3 linked regions of the Notamacropus eugenii genome follow. The protein of the gene in region 3 purifies or fractionates together with the protein of the main gene of each other region. This does not show direct contact. Links are inferred from orthologs where the notes say so. Each region holds a gene or a part of one and is shown on either strand. Other genes may lie near its edges.

Region 1 (3,749 bases), about 93 Mb from region 3:
TGAGTTAGTCTCTCAGTACATATTTATCTCACAAAGGCATTACAGGTAGCCCAGATGAGCTGGGTCCTGAAATGAATAGGTAGTTTAAGATCGGGTTGAATTACAGCGGGGCAGCTGAATACCACTTCGTGTAATTACAAACTGATCCCTGCCACAAAAGCCCTTCTTTTTATCCACGGTAGTTTCCAGATGATGCTATGAGTGTGAAGCATGGAATTCTACAATCTCAAAAGAATCAACACTCAGCTGACCCAAAGTGCAGTGAAAAGCTGCATGGTAGGCAAAAGTAGGGTGTGGCGTATTACCAAAGAAGTTAGAGTAAGAAGTTGTGTAACAGATGGGCAGACAGACTGCTACACTGGCACCCTGGAAATGTTAAAAGAGTCAAGGGAATGCTACCAGCCCACTGGGTAGATCAGCTATGGAGAAATGGAAAGACAAAGACAAGAACTGCACATGCTCATAGAATGTGGATGAGTTGTAACTTGTGCCACGGAGGGAGCCCCTACACTGATGAAGTCACAGATCTTCAGAGGTATACGTGTTTTTTTACCCTCCACTAAACTGGGACTACCCTCCAGAGCTGGCACATCTCTGCTCACAGGGGGTACTCGATATGTGGTAATTGCCAAGTCAAGCACATATAACACCCAGAGAAAGACAAAGGCAACAGAGAAAGATGGGAAGACAGTGATAGGCCTAGAATCAAACAAAAAGGAGGTTCACTCGACCTAGAACCCAGGGGCTCACCCTGCTTCATGGCATGCTTCTCCTGCAGAGCGGGCTGAATTTTTTCCATCTGCTTAGTGAGGAAGTCAATCTTCCTCTTGAAGAAGTCTTTAGCATCATCTGCTGACTGCCAAAGGAGGAGAAGTTAATGACCCTCATGGACTCTTGGGGAGAGATATCCCAACTGTCCTGTCAATGATGCCATCTCCCAACCCCTCCTCTTGCACCAACTTACCTTCTCCACATAGTAGCCAGTTCCTACATCAATGAGAACATGCTCCACATCATGTAGCTTCCCAGGTACATACATCTGAGGGGTGAGGATTAAGGAAAGGGCTGGCCCAGCCTGGGACACCTTCACTTTCCCTCTCAAAAGCCAGAAGTTCTGAAGCTAGAGAGTTGTGAACTTAGTATAGTGTGAAATGGACAGAGGAGGAGAACGGTCAAGGCATTCTCTGTGAACAGAGAGCCCTAAAGAAACCATAAGAAGGTGCCCTATAACTGAAAATTTCATTTCCACCTGCTCACATTCAAAAACAAATCCATTTCTCTTCCTGAAATGTTAACTCCCATTGGTACTCATATTGATAAAGGATAACTTTCCACAAGCCTATTAAATATATAGGCAGTGGAAAAGTAGCACAGTGGACAGAGTACCAATTCAGATTCAGCCTCAGACATAGCTGTGTGACCCCAGGCAAGTCACATAATCCTATCTGCCTCCATTTCTTCATCTTTAAAGTGTGCATATCCAGCATAAAATAAGCTGGAGAAGAAATAGCAAACCACTCTAGTATCTTTGCCAAAAAAATCTGGAGTCATGAAGAGTCAGGCATGACTGAACACCACCACCAAATATAAAACTCAGGCCTCACTTCCAAACCCACCAACAACTTGGCTCCTGATTTACATGTATTTATATGTGAAGTCATTCAGCGTCTATTAGTTAACTGTTTATCTTCCATCAGTACTTATTTATGTTTAAGGAAGTTTATTAGACTACAGAATACAGGGATTTTCTCTATAAACCTGACGTAGGCAATGTCCAGAATAGCCTGTTGAAGTATAGTGACACATGGTAAAGGGATAGTTAATCTCAAATTGTGAAGCAATACCCACAAAGTCTTCTTCCTTCCCTCATCTCTATTTCTCTGTGACTCGTATGTAGTTTACTAATAAGCTTCTAAGGGACAAGGATATTGCTTGATCTCAGCTCTACTAATCCTGTGGTAGCCAGGACATTGTCTTATACTCAATCTGATTAGGGGACTCCAGGGGACTCAAAGGGCCAGTATAAACTTGAATCAGGTAGTTGCAATTAACTCTTTCCCTTCCCACTGATCACCTGAACTTAAGTATCTGAAGAGAGCTGAGGTTAGATCATGGCAAGGTAGCTAAGAAACATCCTCTGGCCCCATGTGAGCGAGGAGTTTTTTCAATCAAGTACGGAAAGGACTCTGCCCAAGGAACCAAAACCGTTTTCTAGGTGGGAAGGAAACCGGCAGTCTCCAGTGGAAGGATACAGAACTGGTCAATGGCACGAGTAATTCTTTCCCTGTGAAGGTAACAGAGATAAACACCAGGGGACGACGCTAAAAGGAAACCCAACCAGGAGGTTTTCCAGGCTGGAACTACTCAATCTGATAACCAAAAATGAGCGAGGAGAAAAGAAGAAGGAAGGGGGAGCTTCTGACATTTGGCATTTAAGTCAAAGTGTGAAAGAAATGGAAGGCCTTTGGTGTGAGGCTGGAGGGGGCAGAGAAGGCTTTCTGAAGAGCTGCTTCTCAAACTTGGGCGATGGGTTACTACAGAAAAGCCCAGCCCACACCCTCGCCCTCTCCGGCCCTCTCCCCCTCCCCTTCCCCCGCCCCCCCACCCCCATACCCTCGTTGCTCTTGTTGAGCACGTTCAGACACTCCTTGGCCTCCACGTATTTGGTCTGGACAACCTTGAGCTGCGCGATGGATGAGGAGAGAAACTCCACCTCCTGTAAGGGGCGCGGGGAGAGACAAGAATGAGGGGGGGCCCGGCGCGGACGGGCGGGGTCCGGGGTCCGGGGCGCCCCGGGCCGGCCTCACCTGGTCCAGCTGGTTCTTGAGCAGCTCGAGCTGCGGCAGGGACAGCTCCGTGATGTTCACCGACTGCGCCATGTTGGGAGGCTGGGCGAGGGCGGGGCGCGCCGGGCGTGGGAGGCGCTCTAGCCACCCGCCGGCCGCGTCTCTATGGCACCCGGAGGCGCCCGCCCGGCCCGCGCTCTCTATGATCCTGGGCCGTCAGCCTCCCGCGGGCCCACTGCTCCCGGAGCGCCGCCCCCCGCCCCCCCCCAGCCTCCCCCCGCCCCGCCCCGCCCCGCCCCGCCCCGCCCCGCCGGCCATAATGTATCCAGCATGTTGCCCTGCAGTGTGCGGAGTAGAAATACAGTGCTACTCAGAGTCGTGTCCGGATCGTGTTCCCTTCGCCACGCTCGGGATCCCCCAACTGCCCCGGGGAAGGGGGCATCTCACTGAGGCTTTCGGGGCCGAAAAGGTGGGGAGGCAGGACGGGAGTCCCGGGTTCGAGTGCTGGCCCGACTCGCGCAGGCTGCATCCTAAGTGTCAGTTTCTTAGTCCTCCTGGCAGTACTCTGATACTAAGTGGCAGATTTTCGGAAAGGATTTCCTCCCACCGGCCTGCTCCCCGGCCGCAGTTCCTGGCACACCAGGAGGCCCTTAGCGCTTGGTGACTGAGCGCACTGGGCATCACATCCTCCAGGCCACCCTGGAAGGCAGCCTTCTGGTACTCGGATCTCAGAGCCAGGGCCAAGGTCTTTGAAAGGCCACTGGACCCCGCTTGCCCCTCCGCTCCTCCTCAGAAATGTTATCTGTTGGGAGAGTCAGTTCCACTAGTCTCTAATGGCCACACCACTGCCCCACACTCAGTACTCCTCACTCCTTCTGCCTTAAATGTTGGCCTTTAAGTGAAATAACGAGAAGAGGAGGCACAAAGCAAGGATAGCCAGGGTGGTGGAAACTTAACAGTACA
Region 2 (3,749 bases), on a different chromosome or scaffold from region 3:
CAAACCCAGACTATTAAATCCAAGTAAATCATTCTTTCCCATACACTTCACTGGAATGAAATTCACTTTTACTATGAAATGTAAAAATCCCAACCTTCCCAAAAGGGAAAGTAATCCCAACAGACTGAGATTAGGCTTCAAAGTTGGCCGCAATGTCCTCCCTCTCTCTCTCCTCTCTCTCTCTCTCTCTCCATATACATATACATACATATATATATTTTTTCCTCAAATACTCAGGCTTCCTTTGAGAATTCATAGCCCTTACTGGGTGAGGAAAACCTGTGCCTAAATTTGTGCTTGACACTAGATTCACAGACCAGTGGCCAAAATGAATACTGGCTTTCCTACTTACTCAGTGACCTTGTACAATTCACTTCCTCACTGTGGGTCTCAGTTTTCTTGTCTGTGAAATGAGCAGGTAGGATTATCAGGAGTCCTTATCACAGCATTCAGCGAACAGATATAGATTCAATTAGTTCTTTTGTAATTCTACGTAAGCACTAGCCATAAAGTCAGAAGACCTGAGCTCAAACCAGTCCTCAGACACAAGCTGAGTGACCAGATACATAGTCTGTATCTACCTCAGTTTCCTCATCTGTAAAATGAGAATAACAAGAGTGAAGCACCTACCCTTCTAAGACTGTAGTGAAGATCAAATACGATAATGTTGTTAAGCACTTTGTAAACCTTAAGATGCTACATAAGTGCCAATTACTATCATTGTTACTACTTAGACACATTCCTCTCAGAAGGGGTTCGCTGGTCCCACCAGACAGCCAAAGAGGTCCAGCCAAGACACACAAAAAGGTTAAGAACTCCTGGACCAGATAACCGCTATGGTCCTTCTGGCTCTGACATTCTACGTTCTAAGGAGCCCTTCGACTCTAAAACCTAAGAGCCGACAGTCCTAGGATGGACGAAACTTGATCCAAGTACCCCCACCCAATCTCTCCAGCTACCCAAAGAGAACTTGCCATACACCCTAAGGATGCGTCCCCACCCACTCCCCAGACCCCCAGGGCGTCAAGGAGAGACAGCCAGGTACCGCCACTGCACATGCGCCCCAGGCTCTACCCCTCCGAGTGAGGCTGCCCCTCCCCACGGGGCCGGGCCGGGTCCTCAGGGGGCCCCAGTCCAGGGACGAAGAGGAAAAGGGGAACCAAAAGACTTCTCCGGCCCCTGATTATGTCCCTCGGCACTTCCAGACGCGCAGCCCCACAATGGCCCGAGGATGAGCCCCGGCCTCATGCCTAAGGTCCCCCCAAGCCCCACGGGAGTGGGGAGAAGGTAATAAGGCCGCTCCGGCCGCGGGCCCCTCGAACCGAGGGCCACATCTAGTAAGCAGACGCTCCCCAGGAGCTCAGACCCTCCGCGTGCCCCTCGCCGGCTTCATCCCCTCACAGTCCCAAGATCCTGGGCCATCCGAGGCACCGACGCCCCGGCCCAAAGCCCCAGACCCCCGGAGCGCCCCACTCACCGCCTTCTTCATGGTGGCGGCCATCTTGGGACTGGACCATCTCAGGGCGGGAGGGGTGGCACAAGTCAGCCCAGCCCCCCTGCAGTCACCTCTCGACTTCTTTCTGTGGGAGATTGCCACGCCCGAAAGAGAAATTTCTCGGCTCTCTTCTCTCTGCTCTACTATGCCTGATTTTTAGCATGTGGCAGCCGAGAGAGAAGGTGTAAACAAGAAAGCACTTGGTATCTTCCTCTTAAAGGCACAGCCACCCTCGTCCTCCATCCTTTACTGAAAAGGGGTGTGGCGGGGAGGTTGCAGTCTGCTCCAGCAGCGCTGAGAGGAGGCGGAGGGGACCAGACAGAGCTGCCCAATGGGAGGAAGGAGGGTTGTGACGTGCGGGTGGAACCCTCCTTAGACGACCTTAGCCCTGCTTCCCAGGCACTGCGTCTGGCCATTGTGGCCGCTTAACAAATGCTGCTTGAGCCCCTGACAGTTCCATGCGAGCAGTTAAAGCTTAAGAGGTTCCTGAGAATTGCTACTGTCCTGGTCAGCGCTTTCGTTCAGGCTCTCACCACCTGTCATCCGGACTACTGCAATCATCTCTTAAGAGCCAAGGAATGCTTGCCTCGAGTCTCTCGAGTTCATCCACAATGCAAACAAAGGGATTTTCCTCAAGCACAGTTCTATAACAATAGGACACGCCCGCTCAATAAACTCAGTGGCTCCCTATTGCCATGTCTAAAATAAAATGTAAACTTCTCTGTCATTTAAAGCCCTTCACAGTCTGGCTTGAATCTAGCCTTGCAGTCCTGTTACACATCACTCTTCCTTAACTAATCTACAATCCAGTCAAACTGGCCCATTTGTTGTTTTTTCCACACGGGACAATCTGTCTTCTGAGCCTCTGCATAGTCTATTCCCTTCAGGAATGTACTCCCTCCTCATTTTTTCTTTTTTGAATCTTAATTTTCCTTAAAAGCTTAAATCAAACACTGTCTTCCTCCTCTATGAGTCATTTTCTTTATGAGATGTACCTGCCTGTCTCCCCAGATGCTAGTGCCTCCCCTCTAAATTTACTTGTGTTTATTTTGTAAATATTTGTATAGATATAGATAGATAGATATAACATATATGTTGTATATGTGTACATGTGTCATATTAATGGGACTTGAAGATCTTCCCCACCTATTAAGGTAAGCTTGCTTAGAGGAAGGAAGGCAGGCTTTCACACTTTTTGCTAATTTCTAATTAGCAAGGTCAGGAGGATTGTGATGCCTTCTGGCTCTGCGAAGTGTATATATACTCTGAGTTGGTATTTTGCTTTAGGGCGTTGCTTATGAGAAGGACCTTGCGATTCCCTGGTCGAGCCTCTGAGCAACCCGATGTTCAGACTCCTGACTGCTCAAATGTAAAGGCTCTCTCCATCCAGGGATATATATGTAAAGTGTATAGCAATATTGTTTTGATTCAGGCAGTAGAGCCCTGTCTGTTGATCTTTGTCTGCTTATGTTTTCTCTGCATTTTCTCTTGTTTGTGTTTTCTCTGAAGTTCAGGGTGCTGACTTTTCCACTGAACTAGTGAGTGTAATTAAAAAAAGATTGTTGACCCCTTAAACAGCTGTCTTTCCTACTAATGAAGCTACAAGAACCTGTGGTAGCAGGTTATCTTGGGTATGCTAGAGTGTTTGCAGTTGCAACATATTGTCCTTCCTTATAAAATATATACTCCTTGAAGGAAGTAAATATTGTATTTTTGCTTTTGTTTTGCCAACACCAGCTTAGTTGCTATGAGGGTTGTTCTTTGAAAATTTAAGAATGTTACTTTTTATTTTTTTAGTTTATTTTATTTTTTTAAACTTATTCATTTTTAGTTTTCAACATTCACTTCTACAAATTTTAAATATTCTCCTTCTTGCTACCTTTCTCCCTCCTCAAGACAACATGGAATCTGATATAGGCTCTATGTATACATTCTCATCCAATATATTTCCACATTAGTCATGTTGTATAGAAGAATTAGAACCACTGGGAGGAACCATGAGAAAGAAAAACAAAAATAAAAAAAGAGACCAAATAGTATGTTTCAATCTGCACCCAGAATCCATATTTCCTTGTCTAGATGTGGATGGCATTTTCCATCATGAGTTTTTTGGAGTTGTTTTAGGTCATTGCATTGCTGAAAAGATCCAAGTTTTTCCTATAGTCATCACACAATGTGGCTGTCATTACGTACAATGTTCTCCTGGTTCTGCTCATTTCACTCAGCATCAGTTCATATAGTCTTTCTAGGTTTT
Region 3 (3,749 bases):
AGCCTTAGACACTTACTAGCTATCACTCTGTGCAAATCACTTGACTTTTGTCTACTTCACTTTCTTCAACTGTAAGAGGGGATAATAACAACATCTACAAGGTTATTGTGAGAAACAAATGAAATGCTATCTGTAAAGTGCTTAGCACACTTCCTGGCATAGAGCAGGTACTTAATAAATGCTTGTTTCTTTCCTTCCTTCCTTTTCCCCATTACCCTAGGTTCCCACCTTCCTCAATGGTTTACACCCTGGGGTAGGAGTTAGGAGGCCTCTCCTCTGGTTCCTGAGTTGCTACTTAGCAGATGTGATCTCCAGAGAAGTCACATTTCTCTGGAAATCATCTGGGAATAGCTATTTTTATATTTGTATATATATATATGTATACTTCTGTATACATAGGTATATATATGTGTATACCTATGTATACGTATATATTGCATCACACATGTGTTATATGTAACATGTTACAGCTATTTATATGTGTATGCATACATAATATTCATGTGTATGTTATATATACACACATAATGTAAACACATATCATGTGGGCACATGTATTGTACACACATGTATGCCTACACATGTATATGCACACACATGTCTAGGTATATACCTGTACATGTATACATATACATACACAGATACAAACACATCTTGCTTACTTCAAAAGATATTATGAAGGAAACCAGAGAAAGCTCTGAGAAGCAGAAAGAGCCAGGAATAAATCTAACATTTCATTGGTTCGCTCTACAGGCACACAGTTCATCAAGCACTGAGGAAGGCATGAGGAGTGGGGTGGGGGAGGTGGAACACAAGGACAAATATAGAACAGTCCAGGGCTCTCCAGGATCTCATATTCCAAAGGCTGGAAGTGAGTAGCATATATACTCAAATAAATAAAATAAGAGTACATGGAATAAGTTCCCCAAAGCTAGGATTCTCATAGAATTTCTGGGAAATTCGATACAAAGGACGACTCCCAATAGGGATGACTAGATGAAGGGATGGATGGAGAGTTGGCTGGATGACGAATGGAAGGGTGGTGGGTGGGTGGGTGGAAGGATGGATGGATGGACAGACCCATGGCCTGGATGGGTGGCTGGATGATGAATAGAAGGATGGTGGGTGGGTGGGTGGATGGATGGATGGATGGACAGACCCATGGGCTGGATAGGTGGCTGGATGAAGAGTTGGCTGGATGATGAATGGAAGGATGGTGGGTGGGTGGATGGATGGATGGATGGATGGATGGACAGACCCACGGGCTGGATAGGTGGCTGGATGATGAATGCAAGGATGGTGGGTGGGTGGATGGATGGATGGATGGATGGACGGACAGACCCATGGGCTGGATGGGTGGCTGGATGAAGAGTGGGCTGGATGATGAATGGAAGGATGGTGGGTGGATGGATGGATGGATGGATGGACAGACCCACGGGCTGGATGGGAGGCTGGATGAAGAGTGGGCTGGATGATGAATGGAAGGGTGGTGGGTGGATGGATGGATGGATGGATGGATGGACAGACCCATGGGCTGGATAGGTGGCTGGATGAAGAGTTGGCTGGATGATGAATGGAAGGATGGTGGGTGGGTGGATGGATGGATGGACAGACCCACGGGCTGGATGGGAGGCTGGATGAAGAGTGGGCTGGATGATGAATGGAAGGGTGGTGGGCGGGTGGATGATGGATGGATGGATGGATGTACAGACCTACGGGCCGGATGGGTGGCATGCACAGATGGACCATGGGGGAGGAGCAGCAGGCCAGGGCAGCCCCGGGTCCCCGTGACGGAGCTCACCGGTGAGGCGGCGGCGGGCGGAGGAGACCACCCCGTAGGCTCCGGTTCCGATGGTCTCGATGATCTCGTACTCGTCCCCCACCTCGAAGGTCACGTCGAAGGAGCGGGCTTTGAGCAGCGCCAGGTTCTTGGCCGCCACGGAGGCTGCCGGGCTGGGAGGCTCCGCCTTCCCGGCCTCGGGGCGACCCTCGGCGCCCCCCTCCTCGTCCTCCTCCTCCTCCTCCTCCTCCTTCCGGGGCTCGGCCATGGCGGCCCAGAGAAAATAGGAAAGGGGGCGGGGCAGGAGCGCCCCGGGACGGGGCAAGAACCGGGGTGGGGGGCGAGCGCAGGGCGGGAGAGGGAGATTCGCGAGCACGGGGGGCGGGGGCAGGGCTGAGGGAGAGGGGCCCGCGGACCCGGCAGACGGCTGCGCCCCCCTCCCGCGCTCTTCCCGGGGGGGTTAGATTCCTGACATCCCCAGATCCTCAGTTAAGGGGGGATACAGCGGCTGGGGGGGGGTGGGAAAAAAGTTTACCTGGGGTCACCCGCTCCCTCACCCTCCGCAGCCGCCACCTCAGGGCTGAGCTCCTTCCCCACCCCCTCTGGCCACGCCCATCCGCTCACACCCAATCGAAGGCCTGCCCTCCCCTTGTCCCCACCCACTAAGCTCGCTTCATCCTATCGGAGGCCGGTAAGAGAGAAGGGAAGTGGGGCGGAGAACCTGGCTCCTGGAGCGGGCGGGAGGGATCCGCCCAAGGTTCACGCAGCTTCGAATGGGCACGCGCCCCCAAGACTGCCCACCTCAGAGACCTGCACGGGCCGCTCTGGACCCAGGAATGGGGAACGTATCAGGAGGATGTGGCTCGAGCTTCTCACAGCCAATCAGAGCTTGTTCTTGGGCCAGAGGAAAGGGAAGGTTCGGGAGGAGGGAAACTGAACCATGTGGTCCGTCTGTCCATCACGGTCCTGGGGACTGGGCGCAAAGCCGGGCTAAGCCAATCACAAGCTGCTCCCAGAGGCGGCGGGCGGGGCCTTAGGGAAGGACTCCAGGGGCGTTCAATCCGTTTCCTTGGCGACTGCAGCGGAAGCCCCGCCTCCTGTTTCTCCTGGGTCTATCCGGGCCTCTGCTTGGCGCAGCCATTCCCGGGAGTCGGAGAGCTTGGGGGCGGGGCGAAGGCGAATGAAAAAGCCCGGCTCGGAAGGGAAGCGAGCCGGAAGTGAGGAAAGGAAGGGAGGAATGGTTTTGTTTCTCCGCTCGCTCCTGCGCAGGCGCTGGGAGGTTACTCGAGTTCCCAGCCGCTGGGCCGGTGCCTGGAATGGGCTACGAGGGAAGGGAGGTTTTTATCCGGAATGGCTGACCCTGAGGGGCCAGACGGGCTTCCGGCCTTACAGGCCTGTCCCTTCTTTCTGGAGCTGGATTCGCGCAGGAGCATTTCCTCCATGTCAGCCTCTCCCCCATGAGAGATACTAATTGGTGATCGATAGGATAGAGACGAGGCCCGAAATGGGAGACCCCATTGGGAGCTGGCCAAGTCCATCGTGTTACAGATACAGAGGCTGAGACCCAAGAGAGCGTGTGGCTTCCCCAAGTCCAAAGCCGCAGAACCAGAGCCGAACTCCAGGTCTGCTTGGACTCCCGGATCAGTGCCATCTGGCTGTGCCACCTGGCAGTGCCCCGCGGCCTCCTCTTCCGTGGCACGTGGGGCATTAGAGTGCCCGGGAGGGTGTTTGACCGTGGGCAGACAGAGTCTGAGCTGGATGGAATCTGAGAGCCTTGTGGAGGCAAAATGGGACTTGAAATACAGAAAAAAAAAGACTGAGGGAAGAATGCCAACAGTCTGCGGCCCCAGGAATGGTCTTGATGGGGCAGAATGGGAATCACTGGTCCCCTGGGGTGAATACAGATAGACTCTAGGGAGGATCCTGATGGCAGTGGCTGGTAACAGGATCAAAGGGAGGAATAGCAAAA

What was found.
Region 1: the proteins of MAPK7 (region 3) and PFDN5 purify together in Homo sapiens (affinity purification with mass spectrometry; 3 studies listed by BioGRID and IntAct, with this or other methods). This does not show direct contact. The link is inferred for Notamacropus eugenii from reciprocal best matches to the Homo sapiens genes MAPK7 and PFDN5.
Region 2: the proteins of MAPK7 (region 3) and PFDN4 purify together in Homo sapiens (affinity purification with mass spectrometry; 3 studies listed by BioGRID and IntAct, with this or other methods). This does not show direct contact. The link is inferred for Notamacropus eugenii from reciprocal best matches to the Homo sapiens genes MAPK7 and PFDN4.

The regions. Positions count from the first base shown.
Region 1 is NC_092874.1:226,239,274-226,243,022, reverse strand, and holds the start of PFDN5 (prefoldin subunit 5), read right to left. Parts: upstream 2,947-3,749; 5' UTR 2,880-2,946; coding exon 2,808-2,879; intron 2,717-2,807; coding exon 2,614-2,716; intron 2,285-2,613; coding exon 2,253-2,284; intron 1,040-2,252; coding exon 965-1,039; intron 857-964; coding exon 751-856; intron 1-750. UniProt on the Homo sapiens protein: Binds specifically to cytosolic chaperonin (c-CPN) and transfers target proteins to it. Binds to nascent polypeptide chain and promotes folding in an environment in which there are many competing pathways for nonnative proteins.
Region 2 is NC_092872.1:512,589,891-512,593,639, forward strand, and holds the start of PFDN4 (prefoldin subunit 4), read right to left. Parts: upstream 2,339-3,749; 5' UTR 1,502-2,338; coding exon 1,478-1,501; intron 1-1,477. UniProt on the Homo sapiens protein: Binds specifically to cytosolic chaperonin (c-CPN) and transfers target proteins to it. Binds to nascent polypeptide chain and promotes folding in an environment in which there are many competing pathways for nonnative proteins.
Region 3 is NC_092874.1:319,640,324-319,644,072, forward strand, and holds the start of MAPK7 (mitogen-activated protein kinase 7), read right to left. Parts: upstream 2,380-3,749; 5' UTR 2,049-2,379; coding exon 1,802-2,048; intron 1-1,801. UniProt on the Homo sapiens protein: Plays a role in various cellular processes such as proliferation, differentiation and cell survival. The upstream activator of MAPK7 is the MAPK kinase MAP2K5.